Saccharomyces cerevisiae S288C: one gene and its partners. Changing the gene in region 4 together with the main gene of any one other region gives a genetic interaction. Each region holds a gene or a part of one and is shown on either strand. Other genes may lie near its edges.

Region 1 (4,379 bases), on a different chromosome or scaffold from region 4:
TGAGCATGAACGGAATGTCACAACTCCCAGCACCAGTTTCAGTTGAATCCAGTTGGAGGTACATAGACACGCAGGGACAGATTCATGGTCCATTTACTACCCAAATGATGTCACAATGGTACATAGGTGGCTATTTTGCTTCAACCCTTCAGATTTCAAGATTGGGAAGCACTCCAGAAACGCTAGGAATAAACGATATTTTCATCACACTTGGTGAGTTAATGACTAAACTCGAGAAGTATGATACGGATCCATTCACTACTTTTGACAAACTTCACGTTCAAACAACCAGCTCTGATTCTATCAACTTGAATCTAGCTCCTTACGCAAGCGGTGTTGCCGCTACTGGCACTATTAAAGCTACTGAAAACGATATTTTCAAGCCATTGACACATGACAATATCTGGGATATGGATGGAGGTACCACCTCCAAGGGAGTCGATATTAAATTAGCCTCAGCAACCACCATTAGTCAAACAGATGAATCTCACAAGCAAGAATACAAATCGACCACTATGCTGGAAAAAGGGAAGAAGGAAAAATCCGAATCTGTAGCAAAAGCGTTATTGGATGAACAAGAGAAACGGAACAGAGAACTCAAAAGGAAGGAAGAAGCTCGCTTATCGAAGAAACAAAAGCAAAAAGAGGATGATTTATTGAAGAAACAAAAGGAACAAAAGGAACAAAAGGAAAAAGAAGCTTTGGAAGCAGAAAAGCAAAAAAAATCAGAAAAGACAAAAAAGGACACACAAACACAAACAGAAGGCTTTAAGACATCAAAAGATTTGCCTTCATTAAATTCCTCAAGCGCGAATCCGGCACCATGGGCCTCAAAAGTCAAAGTTAACAATGCAATCGAAACTTCAATTAAAAATGGTGTAAGTAGCACTGGAAAGAAGAAAGGAGAACCCTTAGGTCTACAACAGAGGAACAGCAAAGAAGAAAAGCAAAAGGAGGAACTAAAATCCGTGCTTAACTGGGCTAACAAGTCCAGCCTACCATCGAATCAAACTATTGATATTAAATCTCAGTTTCAAAAAAGCCCAAAAGGGATGAAAGAGTCGTCTCCGTTAAAGGAGTTGGAAGATCCAAATTTCATAGAAGAGCAGAAAAAACTATGGGAAAAGGTTCAGAGTTCTTCCAAACAAGTAAAGTCCACATCCTCTGCATCTACTACCACATCTTCTTGGACTACGGTGACTTCTAAAGGGAAAGCACCTATAGGAACCGTTGTCTCCCCATATTCAAAAACCAATACCAGTTTAAATTCTTCATTAACGGCAAAAACTAGCACAACTTCTACTACCACTACCTTTGCTAGCATGAACAATGTTTCTCCCCGGCAAGAATTTATCAAATGGTGTAAATCACAGATGAAATTAAATTCTGGAATAACCAATAACAATGTCTTAGAACTATTATTGAGTTTACCTACGGGGCCAGAATCTAAAGAATTGATTCAAGAAACAATTTATGCCAATAGTGACGTTATGGATGGTAGAAGATTTGCCACTGAATTTATTAAAAGACGTGTTGCGTGCGAAAAACAAGGTGATGATCCACTAAGTTGGAATGAAGCGCTAGCTCTATCAGGCAATGATGACGACGGCTGGGAATTCCAAGTAGTGAGCAAGAAGAAGGGTAGAAAACACTGAAAGGAAAAGCTTCATAATTTTTTCTTTTCACTGCATATTTCTTTATCATTTATTGTTATTGTATATACTTTATAACTATTTTTTAACGCAGATAATGACAAATTCTATACATATTTTTAAAAAAACACTGAACGAGCGAATACATATCTTTGCACACAGTAGGCACTAATTGACTAATCTTCCATCATTATTTATTTTCAGCTCCCACTCTTTAATACACACTTCTTTCCGTTTCAAGATTGATTGATAACGTCTAGAGAGAGCTTGATTAAAGCAAATTTCTTTACAAACCATAACGAACAATTGAACCCAGCCCGGTTGCAATCTTTCAGCTTCTTGTAAAGTATCTTTAAATTCCAATTCAATTAATTTAACTTCAGTTTCAAATCTCTTCCAGTAATCCTCCCCAATAGAGCCATTTTTATATAGAAGGTTTATCTGAGGAGCCAACTCTTTTAACTTTAATGATCGTCTAACAGATTCTGCTCCTCTGTTCAATAAAGCGGCCTTCAACACCTTCTCGTGAATTTTTTCATTTTCACTCATTTCCTTTATTTGGAAATACAGATCATGGGCATCGTTTTCGTCAAATATGGATGGTTGCTCACTAATTTTTTTGGCCTGCTTCTTTCTGTAGCTTGAAGCAAACATCACAAGGGACACCACCAGAATAAAGACATATATGAGTGGGGTATAAACGGAGATTGATTTCGTCTCCACAATTGGCTCTTCCGTTTCAAAAAACGTCCCGTTGTTGGAGAATTTTGTTTCATTAAATTCGGACATATTGGCAAACTCAAGTAGTTGTGCGTACCTCTTTCCTGTACTTGAATTCGTTTAAATAAGCCATTTCATTAATATTTCATCAATTTTTTCACATATTATTTCAACTTTTAGACGTGTTCCTAAAACTTTTGACGTTTTTTGGCGGGTAATAAGATGCGTCTACCCATTTTAAGGAACGCCCTCGTAACATACAGAACGAAGAGTGGCAAATAATAGGACAGTACTCTGAAGAAAAATTTCCCTATACTACTGATATCGATATACATTTAAGTGAAGTATGCTTATCAGATTTAGATCAAAAAACGGTACACACAGGGTTTCTTGTCAAGAAAACGACCTTTTCGGAACGGTCATTGAAAAGTTGGTGGGTAATCTGGACCCCAATGCCGATGTCGACACATTTACTGTTTGTGAGAAGCCCGGTCAAGGTATTCATGCTGTTTCTGAACTAGCTGATCGAACAGTGATGGATCTAGGACTAAAGCACGGTGACATGCTGATCCTTAACTATTCGGACAAGCCCGCTAATGAGAAAGATGGTGTCAATGTTGAAATCGGATCCGTAGGTATTGACAGCAAGGGAATTCGTCAACACAGGTACGGTCCACTAAGGATCAAAGAACTCGCTGTAGATGAGGAACTAGAGAAAGAGGACGGATTAATTCCTCGTCAAAAATCAAAACTATGCAAGCACGGTGATAGAGGTATGTGTGAATACTGCTCGCCTTTACCTCCTTGGGACAAAGAATATCATGAGAAGAATAAGATCAAACATATATCGTTTCATTCATATCTTAAAAAGCTAAATGAAAATGCTAATAAGAAGGAGAACGGCAGCTCTTATATTTCCCCTCTTTCAGAACCTGATTTTAGAATCAATAAGCGTTGCCATAATGGCCATGAACCATGGCCTCGGGGGATATGTTCTAAATGTCAACCATCGGCAATTACATTACAACAGCAAGAATTTAGAATGGTTGACCACGTTGAATTTCAGAAGAGTGAAATAATTAATGAATTTATTCAGGCGTGGAGGTACACGGGTATGCAAAGATTTGGCTATATGTACGGATCTTATTCTAAGTATGATAACACACCTTTAGGTATAAAGGCCGTCGTTGAGGCGATATACGAGCCCCCTCAGCATGATGAGCAAGACGGTTTAACCATGGACGTAGAACAGGTCAAGAATGAAATGCTACAGATTGATAGACAGGCTCAAGAAATGGGGCTTTCGCGAATTGGCCTAATATTTACAGATTTATCTGACGCGGGAGCTGGGGATGGGTCTGTTTTTTGCAAAAGACATAAGGATTCGTTTTTTCTTTCATCATTAGAAGTTATTATGGCTGCTAGGCATCAAACAAGGCATCCTAATGTAAGCAAGTATAGCGAACAAGGTTTTTTTTCTTCCAAGTTTGTAACTTGCGTTATATCAGGTAATTTGGAAGGTGAAATTGATATTTCGAGCTACCAAGTATCCACAGAAGCTGAAGCATTGGTTACTGCAGATATGATAAGTGGGTCCACATTTCCTTCAATGGCATATATTAATGACACTACAGATGAAAGATATGTACCTGAGATATTTTACATGAAGTCGAATGAATATGGTATAACAGTGAAGGAAAATGCGAAGCCTGCATTTCCGGTAGACTATCTTTTAGTGACGCTGACTCATGGGTTCCCGAATACCGATACGGAAACCAACTCGAAATTCGTTAGTTCCACCGGATTTCCATGGAGCAATCGACAAGCTATGGGGCAATCTCAAGATTATCAAGAATTAAAAAAGTATTTATTCAATGTGGCTTCAAGTGGAGATTTCAATCTTTTGCATGAAAAAATCTCGAACTTTCATTTACTATTATACATAAATTCTCTGCAGATACTCTCTCCAGACGAATGGAAGTTACTAATAGAATCTGCTGTGAAAAA
Region 2 (7,579 bases), on a different chromosome or scaffold from region 4:
CGCTGATAGCAATCAATGAAAATTCAGCAACAAAGAAATCTGATGACCAAATTACTTTAACACGATACCATTCTAAGATTCCTCCAAACATATCAATCTTCAACTATTTCATACGACTGACAAAGTTTTCCTCTTTAGAACATTGTGTGCTTATGACATCACTCTATTATATCGATTTATTGCAAACTGTGTATCCTGATTTTACGCTTAATTCGTTGACTGCCCATAGGTTTTTATTAACAGCCACCACAGTCGCAACAAAAGGCTTATGTGATTCGTTCTCAACAAACGCCCATTATGCAAAAGTTGGAGGAGTACGATGTCACGAATTGAATATACTGGAGAACGATTTTTTAAAGAGAGTAAACTACAGAATCATTCCGCGGGATCATAACATTACGTTATGTAGTATAGAGCAAAAACAGAAAAAGTTTGTCATAGATAAAAACGCATTAGGGTCTCTCGATTTGGATTCTTATTCTTACGTTAATCGTCCAAAAAGTGGATATAATGTTCTAGATAAATACTATCGAAGAATAGTTCAGCTGGTGGGTTCCTTTAACGCTTCACCTGATAAGAGTAGAAAGGTTGATTATGTTCTCCCGCCAAATATTGATATAGTGAGTGAAAGTGGCTCCCAAACTACTCAACTAAAGGGGTCGTCATCACCCAATTCTCACTCTTCACAAAAGCGATATTCTGAGGCAAAGGACGCACATATCTATAACAAGCGATCAAAGCCAGATTAATGATTTTTCGTGGGGTATTATGAAAGCAATCATGATTGAGCAAAATTAAAACTTTCCATTTGTACATATATATATATATATATATATATATCTGTGTGTGTATAATAAGCAATTGGCCATCATTTGGCTAAAAAGTTCAAGATTTCAGGTAGTATATAAGAGAATAACTTCCCTCTTTTGCTAAAGAAGGATATGTTCTATTTCAGCCTTTTTGCATCATAAGAGCATAAGCGACAGAAAACACTTCGAGATGAGCTTGAGAACTCCATTTCAATTAACTTGATAAATACATGTAGATTCATATCATCACTGTTCTTTTCAGATACTAGTTTCAAAACTTCCTTGACAGAACCATTTCATGTTCAATAATGAAAATTACTTTCACATGTTTTAGTGGAAAAATACTGAACAATGAAATTTCAATATCGCATATAATAATTTTTGTTATCAAATATATATTTTTCGGAAGTCATATACATTAAATAATTAAAACATTATTTTTAAAAATTAAAAAAATATATTTTAGCAAATAGTTTTTACTTTTTTTTAAATGCAAAATAAGTTCACGTGATATTATTAATAATATTTTACCCAAAAATATGAGGGCATCGGAAAATTTTTCAGTAATGAATATTAATGTTCATCTGAAGATAGACGAAATAGGAACAACAAACAGCTTATAAGCACCCAATAAGTGCGTTATGACTTCTGAAAATCCGGATGTACTTTTATCTAGGGTGATAAATGTGGTGAGAGCAGCATCATCGTTAGCCAGTCAAGATGTAGACTTTTACAAGAATTTAGACAGGGGATTTAGTAAAGATCTGAAATCAAAAGCAGACAAACTTGCGGATATGGCGAATGAAATAATCCTCTCTATTGATGAGCATCATGAATCATTTGAACTTAAAGAAGAGGACATTTCTGACTTGTGGAACAACTTTGGAAACATCATGGATAATTTGTTAGAAATGTCAGACCATTCGCTGGATAAGCTGAATTGTGCAATAAACTCAAAGTCAAGAGGTTCCGATCTTCAGTATTTAGGCGAATTTTCAGGAAAGAATTTTTCTCCCACCAAAAGAGTCGAAAAACCTCAGTTGAAATTTAAAAGTCCAATTGATAACAGCGAAAGTCATCCGTTCATACCTTTATTGAAGGAAAAACCAAATGCTTTGAAGCCACTCTCTGAGAGTTTGAGGTTGGTTGATGATGATGAAAATAACCCCAGTCACTACCCCCATCCTTATGAATATGAGATTGATCATCAAGAGTATAGTCCAGAAATTCTCCAAATTAGAGAGGAGATTCCCTCAAAATCCTGGGATGATTCGGTACCAATTTGGGTAGATACAAGTACAGAACTCGAATCAATGTTGGAGGACTTGAAAAATACGAAAGAGATTGCCGTTGATCTTGAGCATCACGATTATAGGTCATACTATGGTATTGTTTGCCTCATGCAAATTAGTACAAGGGAAAGGGATTATTTAGTTGATACTCTAAAACTTCGCGAAAATTTACATATTCTGAACGAAGTGTTTACGAACCCTTCAATTGTGAAAGTTTTTCACGGTGCATTCATGGATATTATTTGGCTTCAGCGAGATTTAGGTTTGTATGTCGTTGGTCTCTTCGATACTTACCATGCGTCTAAAGCAATCGGTCTTCCTAGACATAGTTTGGCCTATCTTTTGGAGAATTTTGCCAATTTTAAAACTTCAAAGAAATATCAGTTGGCTGACTGGCGTATAAGACCGCTTTCAAAACCCATGACGGCATATGCTAGAGCAGATACTCACTTTTTACTAAATATATATGACCAGTTGAGAAACAAACTTATCGAGTCTAATAAGTTAGCAGGTGTTCTTTATGAATCAAGAAATGTCGCAAAAAGAAGGTTTGAATATTCAAAGTACAGACCACTGACACCTTCTTCAGAAGTTTATTCTCCAATCGAAAAAGAGAGTCCTTGGAAAATATTGATGTATCAGTACAACATACCACCTGAGAGGGAAGTATTAGTAAGAGAGCTATACCAATGGAGAGATCTTATTGCAAGAAGAGACGATGAATCGCCACGATTTGTTATGCCAAACCAGTTATTGGCTGCACTTGTCGCATATACACCTACTGATGTCATAGGTGTTGTTTCTTTGACCAATGGCGTAACTGAACATGTCCGCCAGAATGCAAAACTATTAGCTAATTTGATAAGAGATGCATTACGAAACATCAAGAACACCAATGAGGAAGCTACTCCCATTCCATCTTCCGAGACCAAAGCAGACGGAATATTGTTGGAGACTATAAGTGTTCCTCAAATCCGTGATGTTATGGAAAGGTTTTCGGTGTTGTGCAACAGCAATATTTCCAAGAGCCGAGCCAAGCCTGTCACTAATTCTTCTATTCTGTTGGGTAAGATTTTACCACGTGAGGAGCATGATATTGCATATAGCAAAGACGGCTTGCCAAATAAAGTGAAGACGGAAGATATCAGGATCCGAGCACAAAATTTCAAGTCTGCCTTAGCAAACTTGGAGGATATCATATTCGAAATAGAGAAACCTCTCGTTGTTCCTGTCAAGCTAGAGGAGATTAAGACAGTAGACCCTGCGAGCGCACCTAATCACTCGCCTGAGATTGATAATCTTGATGATCTTGTTGTTTTAAAGAAGAAAAACATTCAAAAGAAACAACCAGCAAAGGAAAAAGGTGTAACGGAAAAAGATGCTGTGGATTATTCAAAAATTCCGAATATCTTATCTAATAAGCCTGGCCAAAATAATAGACAACAAAAGAAAAGGAGATTCGACCCATCATCTAGCGATAGTAATGGACCAAGGGCAGCTAAAAAGAGGAGGCCTGCCGCCAAAGGTAAGAATCTGTCATTTAAAAGGTGATTATGTAAAACAAGCGTATTTTTTTATTTATAAATTATGGTAATTTTCATTTAAGACCTCTAAATTCATCTAATCGAATATCTGTGTCATGGAGTTATGGCTCCCCCATGCACACCATTTTCTCTTTTTTTGTTTCTGTGTTTCCCTTCATCTCCTTTATTATGAAAAGTACAAGTTTTATATAATTTCAACGTCGGAGGTTATCCGGAAATCTATAGTTGAATTTTTGCAGGATTATACTTCGCTCGAATATTGTGCGTGTTAAATACTCAGCGAGAACAATACTTCCAAGTTAGAAAAGGGATTTGCTCATGTTAAAGCAATGGCACTCCGAATGGACGGTGTCAGGAATTCTTTTCTTCACATCAGGCTTCGCATAGAAAATGGCCATTGGCAAAAGGTTACTGGTGAACAAACCAGCAGAAGAATCATTTTATGCTTCTCCAATGTATGATTTTTTGTATCCGTTTAGGCCAGTGGGGAACCAATGGCTGCCAGAATATATTATCTTTGTATGTGCTGTAATACTGAGGTGCACAATTGGACTTGGTCCATATTCTGGGAAAGGCAGTCCACCGCTGTACGGCGATTTTGAGGCTCAGAGACATTGGATGGAAATTACGCAACATTTACCGCTTTCTAAGTGGTACTGGTATGATTTGCAATACTGGGGATTGGACTATCCACCATTAACAGCATTTCATTCGTACCTTCTGGGCCTAATTGGATCTTTTTTCAATCCATCTTGGTTTGCACTAGAAAAGTCACGTGGCTTTGAATCCCCCGATAATGGCCTGAAAACATATATGCGTTCTACTGTCATCATTAGCGACATATTGTTTTACTTTCCTGCAGTAATATACTTTACTAAGTGGCTTGGTAGATATCGAAACCAGTCGCCCATAGGACAATCTATTGCGGCATCAGCGATTTTGTTCCAACCTTCATTAATGCTCATTGACCATGGGCACTTTCAATATAATTCAGTCATGCTTGGCCTTACTGCTTATGCCATAAATAACTTATTAGATGAGTATTATGCTATGGCGGCCGTTTGTTTTGTCCTATCCATTTGTTTTAAACAAATGGCATTGTATTATGCACCGATTTTTTTTGCTTATCTATTAAGTCGATCATTGCTGTTCCCCAAATTTAACATAGCTAGATTGACGGTTATTGCGTTTGCAACACTCGCAACTTTTGCTATAATATTTGCGCCATTATATTTCTTGGGAGGAGGATTAAAGAATATTCACCAATGTATTCACAGGATATTCCCTTTTGCCAGGGGCATCTTCGAAGACAAGGTTGCTAACTTCTGGTGCGTTACGAACGTGTTTGTAAAATACAAGGAAAGATTCACTATACAACAACTCCAGCTATATTCATTGATTGCCACCGTGATTGGTTTCTTACCAGCCATGATAATGACATTACTTCATCCCAAAAAGCATCTTCTCCCATACGTGTTAATCGCATGTTCGATGTCCTTTTTTCTTTTTAGCTTTCAAGTACATGAGAAAACTATCCTCATCCCACTTTTGCCTATTACACTACTCTACTCCTCTACTGATTGGAATGTTCTATCTCTTGTAAGTTGGATAAACAATGTGGCTTTGTTTACGCTATGGCCTTTGTTGAAAAAGGACGGTCTTCATTTACAGTATGCCGTATCTTTCTTACTAAGCAATTGGCTGATTGGAAATTTCAGTTTTATTACACCAAGGTTCTTGCCAAAATCTTTAACTCCTGGCCCTTCTATCAGCAGCATCAATAGCGACTATAGAAGAAGAAGCTTACTGCCATATAATGTGGTTTGGAAAAGTTTTATCATAGGAACGTATATTGCTATGGGCTTTTATCATTTCTTAGATCAATTTGTAGCACCTCCATCGAAATATCCAGACTTGTGGGTGTTGTTGAACTGTGCTGTTGGGTTCATTTGCTTTAGCATATTTTGGCTATGGTCTTATTACAAGATATTCACTTCCGGTAGCAAATCCATGAAGGACTTGTAGTTACATTTTAACTTATATAACTGTACAATGTCAGTCAGACGCAACTGATATAAAAGATGTGCTCTACAAGTAAAGATTATTTCAACTCTTAAAAATATTTGAAAAATGCACTATAATTTGATCTAAATAAGGTACAGATAATGGTAAGGCAAAACTACTACATTTGGCAGTGAGTATTGTTAGCTTTTCCGCTTATTTTCTCTCCTGGAGTAGCCACCGTTCGCGTCTTCCGAGCAATGGCGAATCTCGAATCTCGGAAGGGCGGCTACTGATAACAGGCACTCATATATATATTATTAGATAAGAGTTTTTTTTGACTGAGTCCTTATAACACGTAACTTATCAAGTTGCTATATTGTAAGTTCAGGTTTCCAATCTGTTCAACCACTTTATATCTTTAAACATGAAATTCTCTACCATCTTACCTATACTTTGGGCAAATTGCTGTCTTTGTATGATCATCCCTGATTTCGACGGGATAGTTCGTTTTATTGAGAATATTGATGGTACTCGCAGTGTAAGAGCAGGAGAAGGTTTGGGACAGCATGATCCTGGAAATTTTCACACTGAACATCAACATGTCGCTCATAAAACAGAGTTTCTTCCTTATCGGTATGTCATAGTCTTTAATGAAGATATTTCCCTCCAGCAGATTCAATCGCATATGCAAGTGGTACAGAAGGATCATAGTACCTCAGTAGGTAAGCTTACAGAAAATGACGCTTTTTGGAGGGTAATTTCTTCTTCAGTATCATCTAAATCTCAATTTGGAGGTATTGATAATTTTTTTGACATAAATGGTCTATTTCGAGGTTATACTGGCTATTTCACTGATGAAATCATTAAAATAATCTCCCAGGACCCAATCATAAAGTTCGTAGAGCAAGAAACTACAGTAAAAATATCTAATTCGTCATTGCAGGAAGAAGCGCCTTGGGGTTTACATAGAGTTTCGCACAGGGAGAAACCAAAATATGGACAAGATTTGGAATATTTATATGAAGATGCCGCCGGAAAAGGTGTCACATCATATGTACTCGACACAGGAATTGATACCGAGCACGAGGACTTTGAAGGGCGTGCTGAGTGGGGAGCCGTTATACCAGCAAACGATGAAGCTTCTGATTTGAATGGTCATGGAACTCACTGTGCGGGGATTATCGGATCGAAGCACTTTGGTGTAGCCAAAAATACAAAAATAGTAGCTGTCAAAGTTCTTCGTTCTAATGGGGAAGGGACGGTTTCAGATGTTATTAAAGGTATAGAGTATGTTACTAAGGAGCATATAGAATCGTCGAAGAAAAAGAATAAAGAATTCAAAGGATCGACTGCCAATCTTTCTTTGGGAAGTAGCAAATCGCTAGCTATGGAAATGGCTGTAAATGCAGCTGTAGATAGCGGTGTCCATTTTGCTATTGCGGCAGGAAATGAGGATGAAGATGCTTGTCTCAGTTCACCAGCAGGAGCTGAAAAAAGTATTACGGTCGGTGCTTCGACATTTAGTGATGATAGAGCATTCTTTTCGAACTGGGGCACATGTGTTGATGTGTTTGCTCCCGGTATAAATATTATGTCCACCTATATTGGTTCAAGGAATGCAACTTTAAGTTTATCAGGTACTTCCATGGCGTCCCCGCACGTTGCTGGTATTTTAAGTTACTTTTTATCATTACAGCCTGCACCAGACAGTGAATTTTTCAACGACGCTCCCTCACCTCAAGAATTGAAAGAAAAAGTCCTAAAATTTAGTACACAGGGAGTACTGGGTGATATCGGTGATGATACTCCTAACAAATTAATATATAATGGGGGAGGTAAGAAATTGGATGGTTTTTGGTAGCTTTGATTTTGAATTTAGGAGCACCCAGGAGATTTTATTTTATTCTTTTCATACAGGTCAGCATAAGCC
Region 3 (9,386 bases), on a different chromosome or scaffold from region 4:
GGAGGCACTTATCGTATTTATAGTGCTTTCCGTATCCGGAGCATTTGCTTACAAATGCTCCTATGAAAGGCTCTGGTTTAAAGTAGGGTCTTTGTTTGACATTATATCAACTTCCTCGAAGAAAAATGTCATTCCGTTGGCAAGCAAAATGGAAGTTGGCTCGAATGAGGATGTGTCTAGTATGGGTAATTTCATAAATAAATTCTACACAGAGTATTCTTTACCCTCACATAAGGTACTGCAATCACTGCGAGTCCTTTTTTCATTAGCAATGATGACGTATACAGTAACCATAGAGATTATTCTATGGCAGATTAAGGTTGCTGGAATGGACAAGGAAGTTACTTTCATAACGACTTGGGTGTGGCCTCTGACTGCAATCATGCTATCCTTCATACTAATTTTATTTCAGCCCTTTTTCATTATAATATCGTTACTGAATAAATTCTACAATGACAAGTTCGATATCGATAGGTTGATAATAGTGACATGCATAATCTTGTCCACACTTATTGCGCTGTTAAGTTACATAAATATTGGACCGTTCCAGTACACAAAAAATATTCTAACTAGATTGTCCATCGGAGGCGTCACAGTCATGGCTTCCCTATCTGGGTTAGCCACTGTTTCTAGTTTATACTACAACTTTTTAGTCATCTGGCACAAGTTTCGTAATACACCAATGTCAGACCCCAGTTTTAGAAACATCAACAACAGCAACAATAACAGTAAATCTCTCTTATGGACAACAGACGCCTATATAGAGGAAAAAATCCAAGATTATGAACACAACATTGAACAAAATGTACAAATATTAAGAAGTTTAGAAGAAGAGGTCGGAGAAAACTCAACTTTTAAAGCAGAGTTGATGGAAAAAATCGCCTGGTATCAACTGGAGCTTGGGAAATTGGAAGCATTATTACAACAGTCCCCTCAGGTACGCACTTTTAAGAAAGCTTTTGAAGTCGGGTTTATCATATACTGTCTTCATAAACTAATAATAACTTTCCTGAAAAGAATCCCCTATATCATATACCACTCGCTCAAATATCCAGATGACTACGATTATGAAAATTTTAGTGAAAATGCAGCATCCGATCCTTTAGCCATTACGATAGCAAATATTTTGGATTTTTCGTTTTTCAGGTTCAATTACCAGCACGATCTCGATTCGTTAACAAAACAGATATCGTTATTTTTGTCAATTTCTCTCTTTCTTTGCTGTCTTTCTGCTGTCAATACCACCATCTCCTACGTTGTGACCCTTTTGCCCATAAAGTTCCAGATTCTTGCACTTTTCGCCATGCAGAATGATGACACTGCTAATGTACTTCCAGAGTACACCAATAACTCTTCCTATAAGGGAAAAAAGAGAAACTATTCTCAGGAACAAAAAGGAATATCTTTGATAAAAAATCTGGTGGTGTCAGAGTTGACTGGCGTCTACGTTTTGGCTACAACGCTAATGGTTAGGTCCCATCTCCCTTTTGAAGTATCACAAAGATTAAAGGAGCTATTGGGTGGAAAGTTTACCGTCCCAAACATTGTCATAGATTCTTGGTTTGATGAAGTCTACGCTTTTGCATGTGTGTTTACCTTTATTTGCATAAGAATTGCAGAACGAAAGCTTTCCACCAAAAAAGTCAGTGTTGAATAACTGGAGTAGTATGTCGATGTTCGATGTTTATGAGATATGTATTTATAAAATTAAATGTCTGTCGGGTAGTTTATGTAGGGATGAGAAAAGTAGTATAGGTTCATGAAGAAGTACAACTTTTTTTCATTTATGCAAGGGCGTAAAAATTATGGATGGTTACTACTAATGATCAAAGTAACATTAATGCAATAATCAACCAAGAAGAAGCAGAGGGGCATGAACATGTTATGAATACAAAAATTCACGTAAAATTTGATCGTCACTTAAATTTTCCTTGACAATCATATAAACACCTATTAATAGGTTTGGAAAACGCTTGGTGAAGTAATCGTAAAATCCATCGGGTACCGGCCCCATTAGTTCTGCTATATCTTCAGGTAAATCCATAAAATGATGATATTTATTCCTAAGTGCTCTTAATAGATCCATTAACTTTGATGAATGGTATTTTCTGTACCTTTCAAGGTTGTCCATGAATGTTTTATCAAACTTGACAGTCCAATCTCCACTGGGTATTACAAAGTCAGAACCGGCGTCAAATTTCATTAACAGGGCACTTGGAGGGTCTCTGTTTTCAATTTCAAGCCTATCACTAACTTTTAAAAGGAACTCCAATTTTTTCGACTTTGGCCAAAACAACGGATGCCTTAGAACTTTCATAGCAGTAGGTCTTTTTAACGGATCGTGATCAATCATTTGGGAGATCAGATCTGTAGCTTCTGCAATTAAGGATCTATCATGTAGACATTTCATTTCATCAAGACTGAATATTCCTCTTATGATATTGCTTTCACGTGAATATTTATCTCCAAATGGATGCTTCCCTTTGGATAGGATATAATAGAATACACATCCCATAGAAAAAATATCAATAGATCTTGTTAGCCTCCTCTTGGTGAACGGATCATAAAAAGAATCAGATGAAACTACTGTATGCCTACTAGAAGAGTGTTCCGTTTCGACTTGGCACTGCAAATTGTTTGATTCTTCAAGCAGCTCTGGGGCCCTCCAACCACTTGTGCCAGAAGGGTTATTCAAATTTGTTCTAAATGAAGACTGACCAGAGTCTAGTTTTTTGCAAAGACCAAAGTCTGATATCAAAATTCGAAGATTTTCTGCTCCTGTTTGCTGATCGGCAGTAAACCTACTCGAAGTAGAAACGAGAATATTTTGAGGCTTTAAATCTCGATGGATAATCTTTAAAGAATGTAAATGTGCTACCCCGGACGCTATTTGTCTCAATAACGAAATTGGATTATACTCTTTCTGTAATTTCAGGTTTTCATCTGATACATTCTTAGACTCCACCAAATCTTGAAGGTTCAAATTGCAGAGCTCTAAAGCAATATACAAAAATCTGTCTGTTGTTTCTGAACAGTAGTATCGTATGACGTTAGGGTGATCATCGCTTTCAGTCAAAAGTTTTATTTCCATTAAAGCTATGTCACAAAAATCAATTAACATTCTCTTTACCGCAACAGGTCTTCCTTGAAAACTTCCCTGAAAAACTACTGTTCCTGATGAACCGTAACCTAAAATTTTTTCGGATACTACCAAATTTTTTAAAGATTGCTCAAAGTTTGGTATATTTGCAATGCGTGATTTTCGGCCCTTTTTGCCTCCTCTCGAACCTCTTTTCCTCTTCTTCTTTTCTGTGGTTAAATCTAGTGATTTTTCATCATCTTCATCAGCATCATCGTTATCTTTTTCAGATTTTAGACTTCCATCGTTCACAGCACCTTCAAAAACAACTTGCTTCCCTGATTTCATATCGAATGGCTTGGTTACATTTTCCGATGAAGAGGGACAATTTAGCGATTTCGACTCAACTATGGGGATTTCCTTTTCAGGCATAAATCCAATTTTGGATAATAATACATATAGTGGCGGCAAAATTTTGAATCTTTGTAGTATTGCACAAAAAATGAGAAATAACAACAGAAATACTCCAGTCTCTATAATTCGATATACTAGACTTCCAAACTTCAGTAGCAAAGAATTTTGGTTCTTTTCATCTAATTCTCTCGATATTTGCTCGTGTATCTTTTTTCTATATGCCTCAAGGTCTTCTGGTGACATGTATTCCTTTAGTGAATTCATCTCGTTATTCTGATGTAAATCGGTTGTATCAACGGACGAATCAATCATCAGAGGTGGATATTTGTGCGTAGTGTCCAAACTATTCGTTTTTTCATAGTTTTCATAAAGGTGATCATATTCATTATTATATATCTGATGAACACCCATGATTGCGTTCTTGAATAAAGTCTCATCTTCAAAAATTGAAGACACCCTCCAACGGTCACTGGAAGCGTATCTTGATATGGGAGCTGATTCGACTAAAGATGGAAAATTCTGACTAGATAATGCAAACCAGGAGAGGTTCGAAGTCTGATCCAAGTAAACTTTGTTACTCGATATACTTTCATGATCACCAGGATTAAAGGGATGCGGTACCAGTATATTTTCATTGGTGCGGAGATCATTAAACACATCGAAAAGCCCAACAATAATTCCGGGGAATGTCGGAGAAACCCATCTAGCAATTCTAAAATCTAAATCGCTTGCTAGCAATGATTTATCACGGAAAGGCGCTATGCACATGCCGTCCTTTGAAAATGTATTCTGAAGCGCTAGGGGAACATCTAAAACATTTTGCTGCCATGTAGAGTAAGTGACATTGTAGCTTGCTCCATCATAAGAGTGAATTCCCAGCTCAAAAATAGTTTTGCCTATTACAATCATATTTTCACATTCCTGAAGTTTTATCTTCTCCTCAGGTGAGCAATCCACACTCTGGCTCCCGAAATACCCGTTTTTTGAACCAGGTCCGAACGCTGATATAATTTCACCATTCAACATGTTTATAGTATACATTATAGTTCTCATCGATCCAGTGTAGACCTTTTCATCTTCAACAATTTTTCCAGAGTCATTAACCACAATATTTGTTTTCAAGTGCAGCGGGGAAGTTGATACAAGTTGTCGTATGGATAAAGGCAGTTTTTGTAACCCTTGATGGGCGTTAAAGTAGTAAATGTTCCCATCACCGAAAGGTTCTATAATCAACGTTTCATATGTTTCTAACCTCGAAGGTTCTTGTATTTCTATCAGAGGTTGAAAATTTTCTGGTTCGATTGACCATATGATATGACCATTTCTTCTATCTACAGCATGAAGTCCACCCTCAACGTCGGCTGCGATTAGTATATCTGATAAACTCAGTTCGTTCAAGGAACGATTCTCCAAATAGGGTACACTTATAGAATTGGCAGCCCTACGTCCTTTTTTGTTAGCACGTCGATTATCAGCAGTATTCAATAAGTTAGGAGTTGGATATGAGCTGAGTTTCATATTTGGTAAACCTTCAGTGGTTCTTGGAGCAGGAATGGGCGAGTTTATATTTTTATCCACACCATAGTTGAAATTGAGCTTTTTAGTGGAGGCAACTTCATCTTCCACTATCTGCCGCCTTGAGGTGCGAGACGACAATGGGATTGAGCATGAAATGATGGATGAAAACACACAAACGAGCAGTGTCAATACTAACATGTTTCTTCGAAGTAGACGCATTTTTCAAAGTGCTAAAATATTAATTCCTCAGATATGCTGTTTTTTTAATGTGTATGAAGGGTGATATGGAGAAAAGTGATAATGGACGTGGGGAAGAGGAAAACGATGCTTTGTGAATGAGAAAAAAAAGTTACTTAGCAGATTACCGATTATTAACAGTGCCAGTTATAGTGTAGATTTAATTGTGTAAAATTAATATTGTTATAGACTTTTCACTGTTAGTTTATGTGAAGTTGGCTCATTGATCTCCTATGATATGTTTTTCGTTTATTTCTTGTTACTATGTGATTAATCTCTTTTTTTAAATTTTATTGTTGGAATAGTCGAAGGTATTGCCCGAAGAGGCTTACGCTCCGTCTTGATTTTCGGCAATAAAATAGCGAAAACCTATTATATAACAGAGGGTAATAAAACCTCAAAACTACAACTATCAATATATTTCACACTACGCAGCTTAATTAGTAACTGTATAATAGCATTTAAGTTCATTACTTCTTTGTAATTTTATCTTTTTTTTTTTTTATATAGTTTTCAGCGCGCAGCAGAGTTTCATTGGAACGCTTCGCACGTTGGAAGAATAGAACTGTCCCTAAAAGCCCATTAGTCCTTCATTGAATAACCGATCTCTTCAAAAACATCCTTAATTTTGCATTGCTTTTCATCAGCAATTATTTGGGCCAACCTTAAACCGGCATCTCTCAATTCGTTGTACTCCTTTAACTCTTTAATGTACGTCGAGGAAATTTTTTTTGGTGTCTCATCACTTTGACAAGTTCTGTTAATAACAGAAACTAAATATTTTTTGTTTGTTATACCGATTTTTGCCGACTGGAAAAAATAGCTACATACTTTTTCTTTTCTTTAGACAATTGCTCAAACATCTTTATCAGGTTGCCATTCATACTTTCGTATTCCTGTATCTGTTTTTGCTTTTTATTTAACTGTGTTTCCAAATAGTTCATACTTGCAAGTTGTCTTCTGTTTATGGCAAGGATAAGACCATTGCTTTTAATTTAAAATTATTCTTATACTCTGTCTTTGCATTTATGAAGCAGAAATAGAATAGCCGCCATTAGGCAGAACAATTCCGTCTGATGTGATAATGCAAAGTGTGCCTGTCATCTAACTTAAAAGGAATCAGGCCAACCGCTACAGGATATGTACTAGATACAATTACTAAATAATACAAACAGAATATATAAAATGCTATTAAGATAGATCATTTGCGTCCCTCTCAATGTTGTCCAACATAGTTTTCATATGATTTAGTTGCATTTCTGTTATTTTGATACTTTCTGATAATTGCTGCAATTTGTGTTCGTCATCGTTTCTCAACATAGCACGACCTCGAGGTGATATTGCACTCCCTCTGTTACTGATCCAATCCCAAATATCGCTTTCCCTTCCTACAATAGGACTCTTATCCCTTGCGTAATTTACATTTTCTCTCTTCTTCTTAGATGATATGGCGTTTTCATATGAGTTATACAGTGTGCCGAAACTGGGCACGTAATTATATTCTTGACCATCAATCAGCAGCCTTCCTGGCTTGATGATTTGAAGATTATTTTTTTCTTGAAACACGTGAAGCCGAGGAGACCAGAAAAGCATAATGGTCAACCCCAAGATCAAGAATAGTTTTTGAGGACTCAGCAATTTGTTCATAAAAATTTCTGAACTAAAATTATTCTGAACGAAATCCAAAATATGAGTTAAAATGTCTTTATTATCATCGCTCTTACGGCTTTCGGAACTTTTCTGTTCAACCTTACTATGGAAAGGCCTATGTTTATCATGACTCTTCATTACTTTCTTCACCGGTTTTTTGCTTTTTGCCCTGCTAATAATGTCTCTTAACTCGGATAGCATGTAATCGACAGAAACCTTCTGACCCTCAACAGATCCTTTCTCAATTGCACCTTTCAAAAATGATTTACTTGTCCAGTTGATTTTTGTTATAACGGTCATATTCGTGGTGTCATGCTGCCCCCAGAATAGAAAGATTTTACTTTCTACTGCAAAATTGCTACCAGAGGGGACGTCTGGAGTTTTAGTTGTTTGTGTCACCAAAACATAGTTATTGATATCCATGTGTTCAATAGACTCGGTTAGTAAACATTTTGTTTGCTTAGGTCCGATAGAATTGTTCAATTTCTTCGTGTACTCATAGTGTCTTGAACCTCCTTCAACCAACGAAGGCGTGAATTTTGGTATCGTTTCCACATTGACATTATTCTTATCTCTAGTGATAACTTTCTGCATATACTCTGTATTCGATCCAAATAGCAATTGGACCACGGTCCCTAATGGAGCTGGTATATTCTCATTTTCCCTTATAATAGAGTCATCCTTATCCTTTTGAATATCAGGCTCGGTAGGTGCATGTGAGCTAGGTTCCATTTTCGGTAAAGTTGATACTGTAACAGTGTTCTCCTTCGAAGACCTTTTCCTTTTGGTAGCAGATCTTGTTAAAATATTACCAAGCTCCTCCACCAATATCTTTGTTGCATCCGTTACACCATCAAATGTACCCTTTTCAATAGGACTTTTGATCAAGCTTTTACCTGTCCATTCAACAGAGACATACAGTTTTAGTTTTGTTTCATTGTTGTTTGCCCATGATAAAAGATAAACTGTTCTCACATAAAATGAATTTCCAGAAGGAACATCCGGAGTTTTTGTTGTTTGCAAGACTTGAACATACTCCTCTAAGTTAAAGTGTTGAATGGTTTCAGTTATCATGCATTTAGTTTTACCGGGTCCAATGGCACCTGGTGTTGTTTTTACGTAGGAATAATCTCTCTTTTTACCTTCAGAAACCGTGGGTGAATCAACGAGAACAGGGATTGGCGAAATATCACTATTCTTTTGCGCTTTTAAAATGGCCATAATATAACTGACATCTTTCCCGAATAATATATTGACAACCCGCCCTAACGAAGCGTGTATTGTTGATTCGTTAACTAATTTTTCATTGGGCGCTGGTTTGTATACTGTTTCTGTGGGTGAGTGAATTTTTGGACCTAGTGGTGGAATTCCTGTTCCATAAGGGGTGTCTGTTTGTAGAGGCATGGGTAAATCTTCCGGCTTTCCTATGCTGACGCTTGATGTCATGTCGGTAGAATCAGATATGTTATTGCTATTATCGTAAAGATCGTCATCATCATCTCCATAATCATCGTAATCATCATCGTAATCGTCATTTTCATCATCACTGATAGAATTGGAGCTGCTATTAGTGTTATTACTGTTGCTACGAAACCTCTTTCCCAAAATTATTTGATTCCATACTTCAGTAATTAAATCATATGTAGCATCTCTTGAAGTGAAAGAGGCAAACGTGTATTTTGTGTGTAAAGTGTCTATAACGATCCCATTAGGGAATATTCCTGCTGTGGCCCTTTTCTCTATTTGAACGATTGTCTTGAACGGTATAAAAACGGTACTTACCCAACCAAGGATGTTCGAATAAAATCCAATATGTTGATCAGAAATATACATTCTGCCTTGCAAAAGGATATCTCTTGACAAAGCACAACTATGGTCTAAAATCAACCTTTCATTGGGGCTGACACCAGAGTCCTTGAATATTGCATGGAATTCTGCATCTTTCTTTTCGCTCGCGTATTCGACTCCCTTTATTCTAATGCTGGATTGTCTACCATTTTCCTCCGATGGCTCAATGATATTTACGGGGGTAGATGAAAAGCTTTTACTAGAACTTCTCCTCAATCCCGAAGATGGACGACCGTTGGACATACTAGGTCTCGGTATGATGGTCGATGCAATATCAGTGCTGTTTTTTACTTTGTTTAGCGAATATTTCAGTGCCGTCGAAGGTAGTACTTTCATTCCCATGCTAATGCTTCCGGGGGAAAATGACCTCCTGTTAAGAAACTTCTTGGACATTTCCCTAGGTTCGCGGTCTTCATACTCCGGGTCGTTATTCGTTAGGCCATTAGAGGAGTTGAAGGACAATCTTTTTTTACAATCTTGTAAAACGTCGCTACTGGTGTTTTGTTTATCTGCCATTGCGCTAATCATTGATTTGGCTCTTCTTCTAGGCTTGACTCCATCTGTTGTAGAGGAACTGACTACTGACCATTTGGAAGGAACAGTTTTTCTTTCCAAATTACTTTGTTGTACCGGGCCTCTG
Region 4 (8,356 bases):
TGAGTATGTTATTGATTCTGTGTCTTCCCTACTATCGTTTAAGGGAGACGATTCTTTAAGATCAGGTAGAACATTTTTCAGAGGCGAAGAAGTCATGCTTTTTTGGGATTGGGAATGATTTTTCCTCCTTGGTGTCATATTTGTAATCGCTTCTGAGTTGGTTTTATCAGTTTCATGGAATAACAATCTTTGAGGTCCATTCTCGTCTGTACGTGAAGAACTATTATCTTTATCAAAGAGCCTCATACTTTCTGCTGAGTAGCTACCGTGCATTTTATTGTAATATGCTGTCGTGAGACTTTTTACTTTCCTTCGTTGCAGTGCATCATACGAGGGTGATGGCTGCATATTCGATTCATTGTTCTGCAGTTGCTTGTTTAAAGTATTAGTTAAAGAGATGACTGACTGAGCAATTGAACTTACGGTTTGATACAGATCCAAATTGTCCATAGCGCTAAAATTATCATTACTCGGTTTAAAGCTATTTTGTTGTAAAATCTTTATATCATGTATGTGTTCCCGACGTTCACAATCAACATTAACTGTAGGACCTCGGTTGTTATTCGAATGTGTTTGAACTTTTTCTATCAGCTGGTTTTGTAAATGCAGTAGGGACTCCACTTCATCTATGGTTCTTGCACTTAGGATGTCAAATTTAGAAGAATCAGAGTTAAGAAACTCTTCCTCTTCTTCCTTGGAAGATTTTCTATTGAGAGATGATATTGATACAACGTATTTGACAAACGCATCCATTTCAGGTTTCTGGTTTGCTGGTTTAATAGCACTCATAAATTTTTTATCATTACTGCTATCATGGCGATTATGGTTTTTCATCCACTTAGCTAAAAGACCAATAGCGCTGCGATGTAACACAGACATTGAAGATGTATTAGATCTACTATTACTGTTGCTATTGTTATCTAGAGATGATGTCGTCGATGTACCTTGAAGCGTTCCGCTTTGTTCATTTAAATCTTCAGGAATATATAAGGAATTCAGAATAAATTCAACTTTTTTAGCCGGTGTTGGAGGCATTATTTTATCGACTGCATATGATGACGGGTAGTCTACGCCTTTCATTAGTGTGGATACTAGAGTGACTTTTGACAAGTGGCTGATCTTTTGTTTACTATCTGACATGTCCTCGCTTTCATTATCAACTGAAGGTTCTTTCGCTATTCGGTGCTTCGAGTAAACATTTGATGTATTATCGGGAAATAAAAGCATAGAAGGGCTTCTCTGGTTTTTGGAAGAATTTGAAGACTGTAGCTTCTCCGGCAGTCTAAATACATCAGAAGTTTTATATAATGATAAAACGCTTTGGTTACGAAAATCAGGACTGGCAAAACTTTGCCTGGCGTAAATGCTCAGTCGGCTTCCTCTTTTGTGTAGGCTTTCTAGTTGCGTGAAATCCTTTAACGAATAATGCAGCCATGCATCAAAGTCTAATTTATCAGGTTCATTTAGTTCAATATTCTCCCAAACCAACTTAGAACAATGCACCCAGTTTTTTTTCAGATTGATTATACAGCTGGAAATTATTTTTGGGTACTGTTCAATGTGTTTGTCGTTTAGAAACTCGATCAACCGAAGTCTTAATGTTATGTTCGGTAAAAAATCTTGCACAAAATAATTCAGTATGGAATGCCTCAACAACACAAACGTCCTCACGAGGGCAACTTCACCAATTCGCCTTCTCTTAGCTTTTGCAGCATTTGTTGTGATCTCCCTAATACACCATCGAAATCTATAGATGAGTAAGTCGTGTAAGTCTTGAGGCGTTATAAAATTCCTATAAATAAGGAAAAAATCTGCAGATGCGTTGTAGTCTACACCTTCCAAAGGGGAAGAAAGGTGTACAATTAACGCGGGCAGGTCTGCACTATTCACTGGTTTGGATACACAATCGCTTTCATAGCTAATAACATTTGAGGATGGAGTCGGGTAGTAATCTTTCTGGCTAAATATTTCCATGGTTCAGGGTAGCGAATCTTTGAATGGCTAGAGGCTATGTAAAGCAAACAAAAAGGTTCGCGTAAATCAACGAGCGAATAACACGAGTACGGTTGGGGTGGGCTAAAGGGTTCAAGAAATTATCAGTTTCTGTTTACAGTTTTTTTTTCATTGTTGATAAAAAGATCAAGAATTTCATTATTCGCGAAAATCAAAATGCAGAAAGGAAAAAATAGAAGGGTAATAAAACAGCATCGGATCGCAAAGATGAGTAAGGAGAACAGCCTGGTTAACAATTAAAGAGTGTTTATCGAAATTCATTATATAGTGGTTTATATAGACCACTTCTTCTGCTGGTTGATATAGAAATTTTATTTAATTCTTGTTTTTTACTTATGTACTTACTACGATGATCTTAATTCATGCTTCTTGCTTGTCGGCAATGTCCCAAGTGGAAAACCAGTTTAAGTAGCGGAAGTTACTACTTGGTCCCTCCATACCAAATGATATTGGGGAGAAGTACCAGAAGCAACCAATTACAAGTGCCATGAATCCGGCGTATAGGACGAACCGCATGATACGGCCGCACTTAGATCTGGACCATTTTTGCAAACCGGCGTCGAAACAGTACGCCAAAATGATCAGTGCAAAATACAAGGCAGGCAAGTAATGATGAACGTAGGTGACTCTAGACATGATAACGAATGGCATGTAGTGTAGGCCCCAAGCTAGTAGTGGGTAGAACCCGCCCATTAAGAAAACGTTCCAGTTAGATGGATTTCTTAGGTCCACATATTGTCTTTGCCATCTGATCAGTAAGATAACGACCGTGGCCATGAATGCGAGGACGGCAACACTAGAAGCCCACGTGGAAGCTGGGGTACCCAATAGGAAGTATTTTGGATTATCATCACCCCAGCCACATAGTCTCAAACCCACATTCAAAGTTGGCCATTGCCATGCTGAGGAAGCTAAGTAATCAAATTTGTCTGGATCTGGCACCAAAGCGTTATTAGTGGCCATCATGGCTAGATTTAAATGAATGAAGTCTTTTAAGAAGTTGGTCTTTGGGTATTGAAAATCTTCGGGTCTTGGTGGCAACCTTTCATTTTCGTGGGTCTCGATGTTCCACCAGGTCCTCTTGTCCCTCTTGAATGGGTTTTTCATGCAGACAACCTCTTGTTGTCTGAAACCCCATTCGGGCAAACTGTTACCGGTTTGAGCCAAGTAACAGCCCATCTCCAAGTTCTTGATACGGAAAGAGGTGGTCAATGTGTGCAACTTCTCAGGGTCTTCATCTCCTCTTTGGTCCATGATCTCAATAACCCAATTGTCTTTGTTGTCACCAACAACATTGTCACCGTAACCAGAAACCTCCCATTGTGTCTTTGACACTGGTGCAGCAACTGGGTGGGTGTGCAAGTTTCTGCCCGTGCTTTTGTGTACCAATCTATAGGAGGTACCTGGCTTCAAATACTCGATGTCAGTTTCGTTTTCTGACCATGATGGTAAGCCTCTTTCTCTGTTGAAAAACCATTCGTTGTTAGCATCTTTGTAACCATAACAGGTTACTTGTTGTTGGTTGGACCCATCTGGATAAGTTTGTATATGTGAGTGCAATAGAGATCCTCCAAGAGCTTGGTTTTTGATGGAAACAACGGAGGAACCTAGAGCAATGTCACGGGGGCCTTGTCCGACGTCAGAACCCACTAATCTTGCTTGGAAAAGAGATGGCATGTTAGCATCACCTGTACCAGAATGCGATAATAGGTCAAAATGTATTTTGAAGCACAATAGGAAAATGCAGAAGGGGACGATAATAAGACCAAATATTCTTGCCAACCAGTGGTTAATATAGGTTTTCCATGACATGGATTTATCTGCCAAAAAGGTCCATAAGTCAATCACAGTATAGATACCGACCATAGTGATGATAAATAGACCCACCATTTTGACGGAAATAGTGCAACCCAAAGAAATACCAGTGATCAACAGCCATTTCCACCACTTTCTAGAGAACGGCTTGGACCTCTGGTTGTGGAACATAACAAAACTAAAGAACGATGCGACAGTGAAGAAAAGTAGCATGGAGTCCAAAAGAATGAACCTGCCCAAAGTACTATACGAGTTTTCAAACAAAACCAACACGGTCATCAGCCAAACTGTTGGTAAAGAAAATCCAATAGCTTTGGCAGTGAAGTAGGCCAATGGCACACAGAGCGCGGAAAATGACGCGTTGAACAGTCTCATTTTAACATAATCCAAATAGTCTGGGTAAATTTCCCCAGAAGGGAAGTCCCAAGAACCGTTGTAGCCTGCCAAATAACCAGACAACCCGACCAGCATTTTTCCTAGGGGAGGATGGACATCGTGGTAAAATTCGTGTCTCAAGTAATAAGAACCAAATTTACCAAAGTGCGCCTCATCCCAAACAACATGGTTGTTGATGCCGATTTTGTACATCCTGGTAAACAACGCCAATGCAGTAAAGATCACCGGCATTACAACGGATTCCAGGCGTAACAGTGAGCTTTGTGCAGCGGGCTTTTCCTTCGAGAAATCTTCCGCGTCTCTCTCATCAGCGCTCGAAAGTTCCTCACTGACGCTGATGGAAGACGATTCTCTTTGTCTCAGTGTATTCTCTTGCTTAATGTGGGCGGCATTGTTTTTGCTGTACCCGGTAGACGAAGACGAGGACATGATTGCTGGACCACGGTTCGAAACAGAATGACAGTAGCGATGTGGACTAAGCCGGTTCTCCTTGGTAATGTTGTTAGTCTCGAGAAATGACCTTTTTTTTACCCTCAAAAAGAATGCAACACTATTAATAAACAGTACACGAAACGGATCTTTCCGTAAGTTCTTTCGTTCTTTTTTTTCGTATTCTTTTCTTATGTTTTTTTTTTTCAGGGCGACGTGTCCAATAATATGTATGTTTGTCGCTATGTACGAGATATTATTGCTAAGTGACAGTAAATCGTATCACGACTGTAAATGATGGCGTTTCGGTATGTACAGTATCTATCTACCTGATAATAAAGTCAATTATGAAGACGAATACGTAGCTTATGATGCTGCCCAGAGCTAGTCCTGTAGAAACGAAAATATTAGTGAATCCACCGGCCGCTTCCTTCTCGTCGTCGTTGTCCAGTTGCTCTGGCACCTTCATGAAACTCATAGAGATGACGTGCCCGTTGGTTACGCCGAAAAGGAACTGCAGTAGCATGTAACACAAGTCAACGATTACGGAGCCATTGTGCTCTTCATCGCCGCTTGAAGAGGAGGTGATGGCTGTGAACATCAAGAACAGTGGTATTGCGGCCACCCGCAACAATGAGTAGATGAAGGTTTTGCGTGGCGTAAATTTCTGGTCACGGAACATGGGCCAGTCGGCAATGACTCTTCCGTAAAGGTCGCCTAGGTTCCACAGCGTGAATATGAGAGGTATGTACTGTGCGTTGCTTAAAGGAAGCCCTGTCACGTAGGTGGCAGACGCAAATACAGGAAAAACAAGAGTTACGACAAACGTGGTGAATATGGAAAGAACCAGGTACTTTAGTTTGGCAAATAAGACCTCGAAAGGCACTTTTAGTTGGAGTTCCTCACCTTCGTCGTTGTCGTCGCGAGTGCCGTTGGTGCGGCGGTGGTCTTCATCCTCCATTTGGTCAATGCGGCCAACAATACGGATTTCCTCCTCATTGGAGCGCAGAGACCCTAACAACACATCAGTGATATGTCCGTCTTCCACATTCCAATTCTCGTTCACTTTCCGACTGATTTTGCTCACGCTGAACATGACCACACAAATGGTGACCACGAGTGTTGTGGTAAAAAAGTATAGAAGAATCCCGCCCGTAGTAGACACAGAAGAGTTCTCGATGAAAGCTAGGGCAAAAAGCACTAGGGAGGGCAGGACACCAGCAACGGCTTGCCCCACCATGACACCTTGACTGTACTCGGAACCGAAGACGTTGGCTATGGCCATGATACCATTCTGTGTCATGGCTGTCCCCATGGAACTGATCACTACAAGCATCATTATAAACATGAAATTGAACCATTTAGGTAAAAGGAAATGCAAAATTGTAAAGAAGCACATGACAGTAAAGACAATAATCTCCCACACAAGCCCGTTTATGACCCTTCTCGAGTATTTGTACTGTCTTTTGGCCAAGTAGATGTTGAACAGCATTGACGATATGGTAGAAAAGGACATCATAGAGCTTGTGAAGATCTTTGCCCAAATGGAGGTGTCTTTGAAAATATCGTGCTTAAAATATTGCGAGGCACTGAGGATACAGTTCCACGGCCATAAAAGACCTATTCCTATGGCGAAAAATGTAATATATGAAAGATTTTTCAACTTTTTTCTTAACGGCAATGTATCCAGTGGTTCGGTTGACACAGATTGCTCTCTTTCAGAATAATTATCGCCTTCTTCATCTGAGTGCTCGTTGTTCTCTGATTCATGTTCTTCTCCAGAGCGTGATATCTCCTCTGAATGCGTATCGGCCAGTGCAGGCTCTGGCACCGCAAGGATTGGCTTCTTGATGGTATCAGTGTCCGCACTAGTACTCATTTTTGCAATCTGGTATGCTTTCTTGCGTTTGATGATAAGCTGTCGCCGTAACGTAAATCATTCATCCTTTCCTATGATTTTTTAAGTCAATTTTTTTTTCTTTTTCGGGAAATTAATTCTGTTTTTGGCATTAATAACAACAAGAAGAATTAAGGATTCGTTATAGAATACAAGATTCTTGGTTTGGTTAAATAATTTTGGCTCTCTTAAATATTATAAAAAGATACTTAAGTAAGAAAGAAACAGGACGAAAAAGATACGCAAAAGAGAGAGAGAGAGAGAGAGAAAAAAAAGATGAGAAAAAAAAGTATAACGTGAAGGCTTTATGGGAAGTGCGGTGAGATTGGGATCGTTTCAATTTTATAATGAGGTAGTGTACAGAGAGGAGGGAGGGAGTGGGATGAAAGTGTGCGGTTTATACTTTCTTACTGCCTGTGTTTGTCTTCATAAATTCAAATCTTGCTAACAATGGTATATGGTCACTGGGGAATTTGTCGTTGGGGAACCCGATAAACTTACTCACGTATTCAGGGTCCACTTCACCCAATAGCCCACGCACCCTTAGAGCATGTGTAGAAAACCATATATAGTCGATAACATCTGTGAATGACGGTGTGAAATTGGTGAATGGTAGTTCTCCGATACAATTATAACTTGATTTGAGAGCCAAGTTATGTGAGAAATTTTTCTCCGACATGTAACCGAAATCTCTACCATTTCCCTCTTGATGTATTTGGACACGGCCTGTATTTATCAATTCGTATACGGCGGAGTTGATGTATGAATTGAAGTCACCACAAATGAGCACAGGAAATTTCTTAATGTCCTGTCTAAAATTGTGCGATGTCTCCTCCTTTAGCAGCGTTTCCAGATGATCTAACAGGACACCTACTTGGAATGTCTTGACATCATTAAATTTTGGATCCCAGTGCAAATGCGTGGTGACCGCCCATATGGTGTCGCCACTAGGAATGTGTTGTAGCTTTAAGAACAGTGCAACGTTGTCTTTGTTCATTGCACGGTTTAAATAATCTTCAGTTCTTTGGAACTTCTTGTGTTTCATCCAAGCACCGCTGAAATCCATGGCGTCTTTGGTGATCAACTTGAATTGGTCCCTTTTGAAAAAAATGCAACACCCGTCCACTTTCTTGGAGTCCTTGGAATGCATGGTCTTGGCTCTTGCCTTTGCATGGAAGATGCCTGTATAACCGTGCTTGTCCAATAGGGGCACCCAATACTCTTCAAAAGTCTTAGACTCCACTTCTTGTAAACACAACAGATCACTGTCGTACGAGAGAATCTGCTCCTTTAATTTATTGCGCCTGTAATCCCAACTTAACGCCCACGACGGTGTGTAACGGTACATTTTTGGGGTGGCATAGTGTTGACATAAGGTGTTGTAGGATAAGACGGTGAACGTCCTCTTGGCTAAATCGGTGGCCAGATGCTCAGTGGATTGCTGCAAAGAATCGTACTCCCTCTGTGGTTCCCCATCGGTATTGATTTCGATGAACCTACGTTCATGCGGTAAGGGAATCTCTGGTCTGTTGTCCCTTAGGTAGAAAATCAATCCCGTGACAGATTTTTCTGTAAGGATCTTTAAAAACTGTTTTTCTAAGGGGTTTCCTTCTACACCAAGAAACTGAAGGTTACACAGGTTCCCAAACTCCCATGGTAATGTGGTGACCATGTTATCAAAAAAGTAGAAGTATTTCAATTGGAAACATGAGCCTAGTTCCGCTGGTAGAGATGTTAACCTATTATGCGACAGGTCCAAAACGCGTAGGTTGCTTAGGTTCTTGATCTCCGCTGGCAGTTCCGTGA

What was found.
Region 1: mutations in PMT2 (region 4) and SEC66 together harm fitness more than expected from each alone (negative genetic interaction), as found in Saccharomyces cerevisiae (4 studies listed by BioGRID).
Region 2: mutations in PMT2 (region 4) and ALG6 together harm fitness more than expected from each alone (negative genetic interaction), as found in Saccharomyces cerevisiae (5 studies listed by BioGRID, with this or other methods).
Region 3: mutations in PMT2 (region 4) and IRE1 together harm fitness more than expected from each alone (negative genetic interaction), as found in Saccharomyces cerevisiae (4 studies listed by BioGRID, with this or other methods).

Annotation. Positions count from the first base shown.
Region 1 is NC_001134.8:576,426-580,804, reverse strand, and holds SEC66 (Sec63 complex subunit SEC66), read right to left. Parts: upstream 2,442-4,379; coding exon 1,821-2,441; downstream 1-1,820. Other genes in the region: SMY2 (Smy2p), read left to right, coding at 1-1,655; NPL4 (nuclear protein localization protein 4), read left to right, coding at 2,719-4,379. UniProt on the Saccharomyces cerevisiae protein: Acts as a component of the Sec62/63 complex which is involved in SRP-independent post-translational translocation across the endoplasmic reticulum (ER) and functions together with the Sec61 complex and KAR2 in a channel-forming translocon complex.
Region 2 is NC_001147.6:325,382-332,960, forward strand, and holds ALG6 (dolichyl-P-Glc:Man(9)GlcNAc(2)-PP-dolichol alpha-1,3-glucosyltransferase), read left to right. Parts: upstream 1-4,035; coding exon 4,036-5,670; downstream 5,671-7,579. Other genes in the region: PHO80 (Pho80p), read left to right, coding at 1-749; exosome nuclease subunit RRP6, read left to right, coding at 1,451-3,652; putative subtilisin-like protease YSP3, read left to right, coding at 6,074-7,510. UniProt on the Saccharomyces cerevisiae protein: Dolichyl pyrophosphate Man9GlcNAc2 alpha-1,3-glucosyltransferase that operates in the biosynthetic pathway of dolichol-linked oligosaccharides, the glycan precursors employed in protein asparagine (N)-glycosylation.
Region 3 is NC_001140.6:256,362-265,747, forward strand, and holds IRE1 (bifunctional endoribonuclease/protein kinase IRE1), read right to left. Parts: upstream 5,231-9,386; coding exon 1,883-5,230; downstream 1-1,882. Other genes in the region: YHR078W (uncharacterized protein), read left to right, coding at 1-1,657; SAE3 (Sae3p), read right to left, coding at 5,831-5,993, 6,080-6,192; LAM4 (Lam4p), read right to left, coding at 6,440-9,386. UniProt on the Saccharomyces cerevisiae protein: Senses unfolded proteins in the lumen of the endoplasmic reticulum via its N-terminal domain which leads to enzyme auto-activation.
Region 4 is NC_001133.9:103,899-112,254, forward strand, and holds PMT2 (dolichyl-phosphate-mannose-protein mannosyltransferase PMT2), read right to left. Parts: upstream 4,654-8,356; coding exon 2,374-4,653; downstream 1-2,373. Other genes in the region: mitotic regulator LTE1, read right to left, coding at 1-1,974; nucleoside transmembrane transporter FUN26, read right to left, coding at 4,979-6,532; CCR4-NOT core exoribonuclease subunit CCR4, read right to left, coding at 6,948-8,356.